2 linked regions of the Oryzias latipes genome follow. The protein of the gene in region 1 interacts with the protein of each later gene in a pairwise test. Links are inferred from orthologs where the notes say so. Each region holds a gene or a part of one and is shown on either strand. Other genes may lie near its edges.

Evidence for each region.
Region 2: the proteins of slc23a1 (region 1) and S-adenosylhomocysteine hydrolase-like protein 1 interact in binary tests that used the Homo sapiens proteins (3 or more experiments, as listed by UniProt). The two-hybrid records come from large-scale screens. The link is inferred for Oryzias latipes from reciprocal best matches to the Homo sapiens genes SLC23A1 and AHCYL1.

Annotation. Positions count from the first base shown.
Region 1 is NC_019872.2:23,035,628-23,039,450, forward strand, and holds part of slc23a1 (solute carrier family 23 member 1), read right to left. Parts: intron 2,560-3,823; coding exon 2,402-2,559; intron 2,311-2,401; coding exon 2,222-2,310; intron 2,144-2,221; coding exon 2,076-2,143; intron 1,161-2,075; coding exon 979-1,160; intron 1-978.
Region 2 is NC_019863.2:2,340,595-2,344,417, reverse strand, and holds part of S-adenosylhomocysteine hydrolase-like protein 1, read right to left. Parts: intron 3,716-3,823; coding exon 3,645-3,715; intron 3,502-3,644; coding exon 3,407-3,501; intron 3,319-3,406; coding exon 3,220-3,318; intron 1,615-3,219; coding exon 1,546-1,614; intron 1,363-1,545; coding exon 1,284-1,362; intron 1-1,283. UniProt on the Homo sapiens protein: Multifaceted cellular regulator which coordinates several essential cellular functions including regulation of epithelial HCO3(-) and fluid secretion, mRNA processing and DNA replication.

The sequences.
Region 1 (3,823 bases):
AGATTTATGAACTTTTAGCTGAGCTAATAAACCTGCTGCAGTTGGAACCAGCCATCTTCCTGTTCTTGTGACGGATAGGGACTTAAAACCATCCTCCCAGGGACAAAAATATCTCCCCCAGCTCAAATCTATTGCAATTCCAAATTCATTGATTGTAGAGATTACCCACAGCATGTGGACAGGGTGTCGCTCGACCCAAGGATCCAACTCACAGAGGGCTTAACCCCCATCCCCACATCAGCTGCTGGGGCCCTCAAACAAGGGATGTGGGCAGGCAAAAGATCATAGGTGACTGACCTCCTTGTACTGTGCTACAGGATTTTTTGGCAAGTTGCAGTTTTTAATGACACCTGTTGTTTGTAAGCAGGGGTGTCCAACTTTTCCTGCATGTCAAATGTGCAATTAAAAACAGAGGCGGGGTGGAGATTCATGCCACAACACCAGGGGAAAGTGCCAAAGCCAAGTATCTCAATGCCCAAAGTATGTGCTGTGCTCTAAAGCATCTGTCCAGGAGGGCTCCATCCACTCCACAGACAGACCCAAAGTCATAACTCCCATGGCACCCACCTCCCTAAACTCATGGCTTGAATCTGTAGCCATTCTCAAGGACTTGGAGAGGGGTACAGGACAACATAGCACCTGTCAACTCTAACCTATACGCAGAAACCAATTTAAGTGTCAACAGAGAAGACTTAACTGCATAACTGCAGGAAGTTCAGATAGAGTTAAACCAAAAACCTTAAATATCTGAAGATCAGTTAGGTGGTAATCTGCAGCATCCTTTTAACTTCTAGATAAAATCTACAGGTATTAGAACAAGACCTCCTGCCCTGATCCAGTCTATGGAACATTTCACTAAACTGACTAGCTGTTCCAATGAAATCCTCAGATATTCTGGGAGGACATTACCTTCCACACTGACAGAAAAACACACACACACAGAAACACACAAGTGACACTTTTGTTCAGGTGACTCACAGAGCTGAGAGGCCCCAGTGGGATCCTGCACGGTCCCCCGCCGTGGTAAAGACAGACAGGCCAATGAGGGAAACTGTGGGCGTGATGGTGAGTGGACCAATGTACTTCAGCAGCAGACCGGGTAACCCGCACAGACCTATGATAACCTCTACCAGACTGGACATGATGATGGCACCTTGAATCTGCAGGAAACATCAAACAACGATTCATTGGTTCATGTGAACTGGATCAGAACCCAGCAGACTTGGACTGGGCGTATGACTTAATTCCAGGTCAAAGTCTGTAGCCTTCTTAGGCAGAACAAAAAGTTTAAGAACAAAGATCCAGCCCAGAGACTTTGCAGCTCCAGTGCCCCCTTACACCAACGTGATGAATAAAGAAAGAAGTTGGTTAGCCTGAATGATAGAATAGGAAATTGTGGATTCACATTTTATGTTGAGTCAAACTTTTCCTTTTTCTTTTCCTTTCAGGGGTCGCCACAGTGAATCGCTTCCTCCATCTAACCCTGTCTTCTGCATCCTCTACTCTAACACCAGCTACCTTCAGGTCTTCCTTCACTGCATCCATAAACCTCCTCTTTGGTCTTCCTCTAGATCTCTTGCCTGGCAGCTCTAGACTCAGGATCCTTCTACAATAGGTTCATTGTCTCTCCTCTGGACATGTCTGAACCTTCTCAGTGTATGACTCCCCTCCAAAACCTCTAACATTTGCTGTCCCTCTGATGTCCTTATTCCAGATCCTATCCACCCTGGTCACTCCCAAAGAGAACTTCAGCATCTCCATCTCTGCTCCCTCCTGCTTCCTATCTTTTCCTCTGTGCCACTCTGAACATGGCTGGGCTCACCACAGTTTTGTATACCTTTCCTTTCATTGGTATCGTCTGTCACTAGCGATGATGCGCACAGAGCAATTTTTTATTTTTTTAGTTTTAGCAACACCAACCTTTATCAGTTTAAGTGAGCTTGAAAATACAGAAGTCCAGGAGCAGAAACAGCAACACCAAAATTTTCTTTGAAGTAAAATGATGAATGTTATGGTTGATCTTTATGCTTCATCTACCTCTGACCACAGTATAAATGCCAAAGATGCCCTCATACCTCTCTCATGCGAGGCTGCCAGATGTGTGAGGTGTTGAGGGGAACACTCCAATTTCCGTAAATCTCCTCTGTGGATAAAATCAAACTTTAGAACCTTGAGGCAGTGAGTTCATGAAGAACAGGGTTTGAAACAGACAGACTCTGACCTTCGCTGGGACACTTCCAACGGTCAAGGCCAAGTATTGCCTGGGCAGGGATCAGGAAAGCAAACGCACTGGCCTGGAACAGAGGAAGTCTAACCACAAGAACACACTTGTTATCTCCTACTCTCACCACACTAAGAGAGAAGATCTTTACCTGGCCCATGTGTACCTGCTCAGACTCACCTGACTCCCACAGTTGTCTGGATCAGAGTAGTGATGCCAACAGTGGTAAAAATGGTTCCAATCAGCTGACTCACAGTGTTTTGGTCTTGACCCACACACATGGCTTCAGCAAGTAGAAACGGCACAGCAACAGTCCCACTAAAACATGTCAGGTAATGCTGTGAAAAAAAGGAGTAAGGCGCAGAATTGTAACCTACATTCCAGCTCTACTGTCTAAAAACCACTGTCTTTACATAAAAATGGGAAAATCACATTTGCATCTACTCTACCTCTTCTAACATCTTTGTCTTTTATCACAACAATTAATTACTTGATATCTTAACTGGGTTTGCTGCATCTGTGTTTTGTAATTTTTGTAATGAAGTGTTCAATTATTTTAAATTCATGTAATCAATCAATAAAATCAACTACACTGAATCTAAAGAGTTTGATTACTAGCTTTAAAGGGAGTGGGAAGAAGCAAATTCACATAATCCCACCCCTGTTATGTTTGAGTTTTTTTCCATTACACAGTTGCTATCATTTGGTTCTTAACATTGACTTGTTGGTTTTTCGTAATGATTCAAGTTGTATAATGCATTTGCCACTGTGGCATAGTATTGTTGAACCAGAAACAGGAAGTGTGGACAGTTTATTATAATGACACACATAACAATAAAGAGAAAAGGAACAAAGTATATAAATATGTTGCAGTTTTAAAAATCCATCCATCCATCCATCCATCCATCCACCCACCCACCCACCCATCCATCCATCCGTCCGTCCGTCCGTCCATCTATTCAGTCATTCATCCATCCATCCATCCATCCAGTCATCCATCCATCCATCCATCCATCCATCCATCCATCCAGTCATTCATCCATCCATCCATCCATGCCACGGGACAGCAAATATGCCCAGACTTTCCTCCCTCAACTCACACTTAAAATGATCAGTCAACTTTTTAAATGATTGAAATACCATTTTAAGTTGTTTTATTAAGAAATGATGACGATGACAAAACAAATAAAGGTGACCAATTGAAGATCAGACGTCTGTCCTCAAAGTGTCTGCTACTGAATGGTTTGATAACTGATGATCGTGTTGATCTATTCTGTCTCACAGAAACCTGACTGCAGCAGGAAGATGGTGTTAGAATGAATGAAGCATCTCCTTGCCGTTTTTCAAACGGAACAATCCCAGAAAAACTGTCAGAGGAGGAGGGGTGGGATCTAGTCACAGAGCAACTTTAACTCGTTTAAGGGTCTGAAATTCCCTTTTTGGCAGTAAAAGTGGAAAAAGATGTACATTTCAATACTGTCTTCTGGCCCTTGTTTGGAGTTTCTGTGTGAAATCTTTTTCTTTTTTGCTTTAGGGTTAAACACAATTAAATATTTGTATAAATGATTAATTCATAATATTCATGTCAATGCTGAACACATA
Region 2 (3,823 bases), on another chromosome or scaffold:
GAGCTTTTCTGTCACATTATGAAAACAGCTAAATATTTAAAGACCCCCTTCAATGAAAATGGAGTTTTGGGTGTTTTTTCAACATGTTCCTGTGGCATTTTCCTGATGATGAAGGATTATGGGCGGCAGTGGCTCAGGCGGTTGAGCAGGTCGTACAATGATCAAAGGGTTGGCGGTTCGATCCCCAATCCTCCCAGCCAACTGTCGTTGTGTCCTTGGGCAAGACCCTTCACCCTCACCCATGTATATGAGTGTCCAGGTGATGGTCAGAGCGAACTGGCAGCCACACCTCTGTCAGTGATGGTATGGTGATGGTAGCTACTGATGTAGCCACAGCTGCCCTGGGGCAGACTGCTACTGCATCAGTAGCTACCATCACCAAGTATGAATGAATAATGGACACATTGGAAACGCTTTGAGCGTCTGGAAAAGTGCAGATAAATCTTATCCATAATTATTATATATAAAGAAAATTCAGCATAAAATTGCACTAAAAAGGACATCGATTAATGTGCTGGTCCTCAGGAGGATAAGAAAGTTTTCATCATCTGCACAAGTCAGACTAACCTGTTTTTAGAAGATTGTGTGAAATTGTAGACATCAAAGATTGTCTCTATTCTTGTTATCCAATTACCCAAAGATCCTTGCATAATTCCTCTTGAAAAAAGGGTAAAAGTTCTTAAATACCAACTTTTCAAACATTTTAACCATGGTGTTAGGGTTTTTTCCTGCGTGAGGATCTGCTCTAAAAGGAAACCTTATCATCTTCTTTTAAGCAAAAATTCACAAGTTTAAGTGATGAAGAAGCCTCAACACTAAAATGATTCAAACTACAGACTGGTCATTAGCATGAACAGGAGTGTTTGTGAGTGAAAAATGCCACTTGTGAATGTATATTTGTGAGCAAACTCAAACTTCTTGAGTTTCAAAGCAGAGTTCTGAGAGACAGCAGAGTAATAAATCAATACGAGCAGATGAACTCGGGTTTCTATCACAAAACGAGCTCCTGATGAATGATACCAGCTGTAAAGACGACCCATCTGGTTTGTTTACTAGTGAGCTGTTTTTCATTGACACCACTGTGTAACAGATTACGGTAAACAACTGTCATTTAAAGACAAATAGAGCGTGTTACAGTAGATTTGACTTTTGACTTTAATTTGTTGACACTCTGTCATAAAGAGAACTTTTGAACAGTGGGAACGCAAATGCCCTGAGTGTAAATAAATGGCTGTTTATTCTAACCTTTGCACATATAAGTACTGCAGTATTTATATCCTCACCCATCTTCTTGGGAAGCAAGTAAACATCCTGTTTGTATCGTCCCTCGGGAGCGTTGTACAGCTCTATCAGAGCCAGAGCCTGTGAACAGAGCACGTGATAAAAGATGAATTCAGTCGTGGGAATCCACAACATCCAGACTTTTGGAAAGGAGCTAATCTGCTCTGATCACTACATGACTGCAGCAAATAAAAAAAATGTAAAATAACATCGTATTCCTTCATCTTGTGTAGGGAAGGGGAATAAATACAGTTTTTATTTTACCTGAGTGGTGGCTGTAATGGACAAAACAAAAGTAGGAACAGTGGAGCAGCTGAGGTTCAGGAGGCGGCCCTATGAAAGCAAGAAGGACATGATGATGTTTAGTCATTATGGGATGCTCTGACTCTTCATTTTGAATGGAGACCCAATAGGAACATCATCAGAGACACCATGAGGCTGTCGAGCTTCAGTCACAACAGCCCCGGGTGGAAAATAGACAAACCTGGACAAGACATGCAGACGACCTTCATAAAATCTCAAGGTCATAGAGCGCTCAGTGAACTCGTAGAGTGAAAATGTTTTTTTATTTAGTCTACGGAGATGCTGTGAAGTCATAGTGAAAACTTTAACACATCACAACAGTGCAGGAGGTGAGAGAAAGGAGGATGGTAGCCAAGCACCCGTCGTGCTATCTGCACCTGTTATCTCTGTCAGATTGTGGAAATATGTGATACAGTATTAACCCCCATGTTCGCTGGGTGAGGGACCAGAGACACCCCTGAATTCCAGAACCACCCCCCAACTCTGCGACGGACGAATGTCCTTTACCAATTCTTACTGATCTAAAACCCTTTAGAAAAATTTGTGATGCTTTGTAAAAGATCTATTAAAGAACATTGGAATATTGCTCAACATGAAGAGTTTTATTTTTTAAGTCAGACCAATAGACTGTACTGTAGTGTACTCTTTAACACACAATAGGAGTGTCTCTCTGTGCCTAAAAACCAGGAGATCGTGCTTCCTCCTTTGTTTAGAAGGTGCTCCCTTCATTCATATTAAAAACCTTCTCCGGATGATAATTATTCTCCACGATTATCTTCCTCAGCGTTTCAGGATGTTTTTTTTCCGTCTGTTTCTGAGTCAGCTGATGCCATTTCTCCATGCAGGGGCACAAACTTTGGTTTTAGCCATTCAGGAACCTTATCTTAAGGAACTTATCTTTTCCTAAACGTCACCTAATAATAATAATAAATGTTATTTGTATATCGCTTTAAATAGCACACAGACACTTTACAAAATGAGTAAAAAACATTAAATAATAATAATAATTAAGGGTAAGTATGGATGAAGTAGGTGAGACAGGCGTGTTTTTTTCATTTTTTAAACCCGCTAAAATCTGGCGGACTGCGCAGGGAGGCCATTAGCGCTTTTCAAGTGCCCGCCTTGGCGTGCAGCCTGACTGTTAGAAATGAGGGAATTAGACCATCAGAGTGTAGTTTGAGACGTGAGAGCAGCATTTGCCAATAAGGGGCCGGTATGCGCACCTTACAAGGTGTGGCGTAAGGTCACCGTACGACAGCATCGCCTCTACATCCTAAGTACGTTTCACCTAAATTATCCTTACAAATACTTCACAACACACTTACCACACGTCTGACAATGGTACGCTCCATCTTCATGACATTCCTTGAGGTGGCCGTTCAAGCCTCAAGGGAACTGCAAGAAACGCCTAAACTCCCCTTAAGATGCGGCCGCTCCTCTCTACGCCCCGAACAACCCAAAAACCCGCAGCCTCCGTGACGAAGGCTTTATTTAAACATGCTTCAGGAACTGTTGGCGTGTTTGAGAATAGTACTTCTGTTCACTCGCTAGATCTACCTTTTTATAGAGGAAATGTTTCAAAATGTTTTCTTTTTTTTTGTGTCTCTGTAGAATAATACACCAGAAGCCCCTCACCTCGGCCAGGAGAATCACTCTTTTGCCGTCAGGCCAGATGACATGATCCACCTGGGAGCGGACTCTCTCCCAGGTCAGCTCGGGTGTCCGAAGACTTGCCTGAAAGAGTCCAGGACGGCTGTCACTCACTAAACCACAGACAGTGACTTTGGCCATGACAATCTCAAATCTAGGCGTGCTGGTTTACCACGTCGATCTCCGTGTTGGAGTGTCCCATGTTGCAGACGATAGACCCGTTCTTCATGCGGTCCAGCTGATCCCTGGTTACCACGTTTTTGTTCCCTGCAGAAACACGCCATCACGTCAGTCATGCTAATCGCCACCGGAGAGCAGACAGAGACCCACGACAGATTAATGGGTTCACTACACTAATTCCATGTCAGTGTAATCCATCACTCATGTCGATTTCAGTGAAGTTCCAATACCAGTGCACGTTATGATGATGTCGACCTGCCGAATGACCTCGTTCAGTTTGACCACCCTGAATCCATCCATGCTGTGGAACACAAAACAAGGCAGAGGTCAGCCAACAGTCAGGCCTGTCTGACATGAAAATGGATTCAGCTAAAGGTTTTGGCATCAGTAATCCAGCAGACTGTTAGAT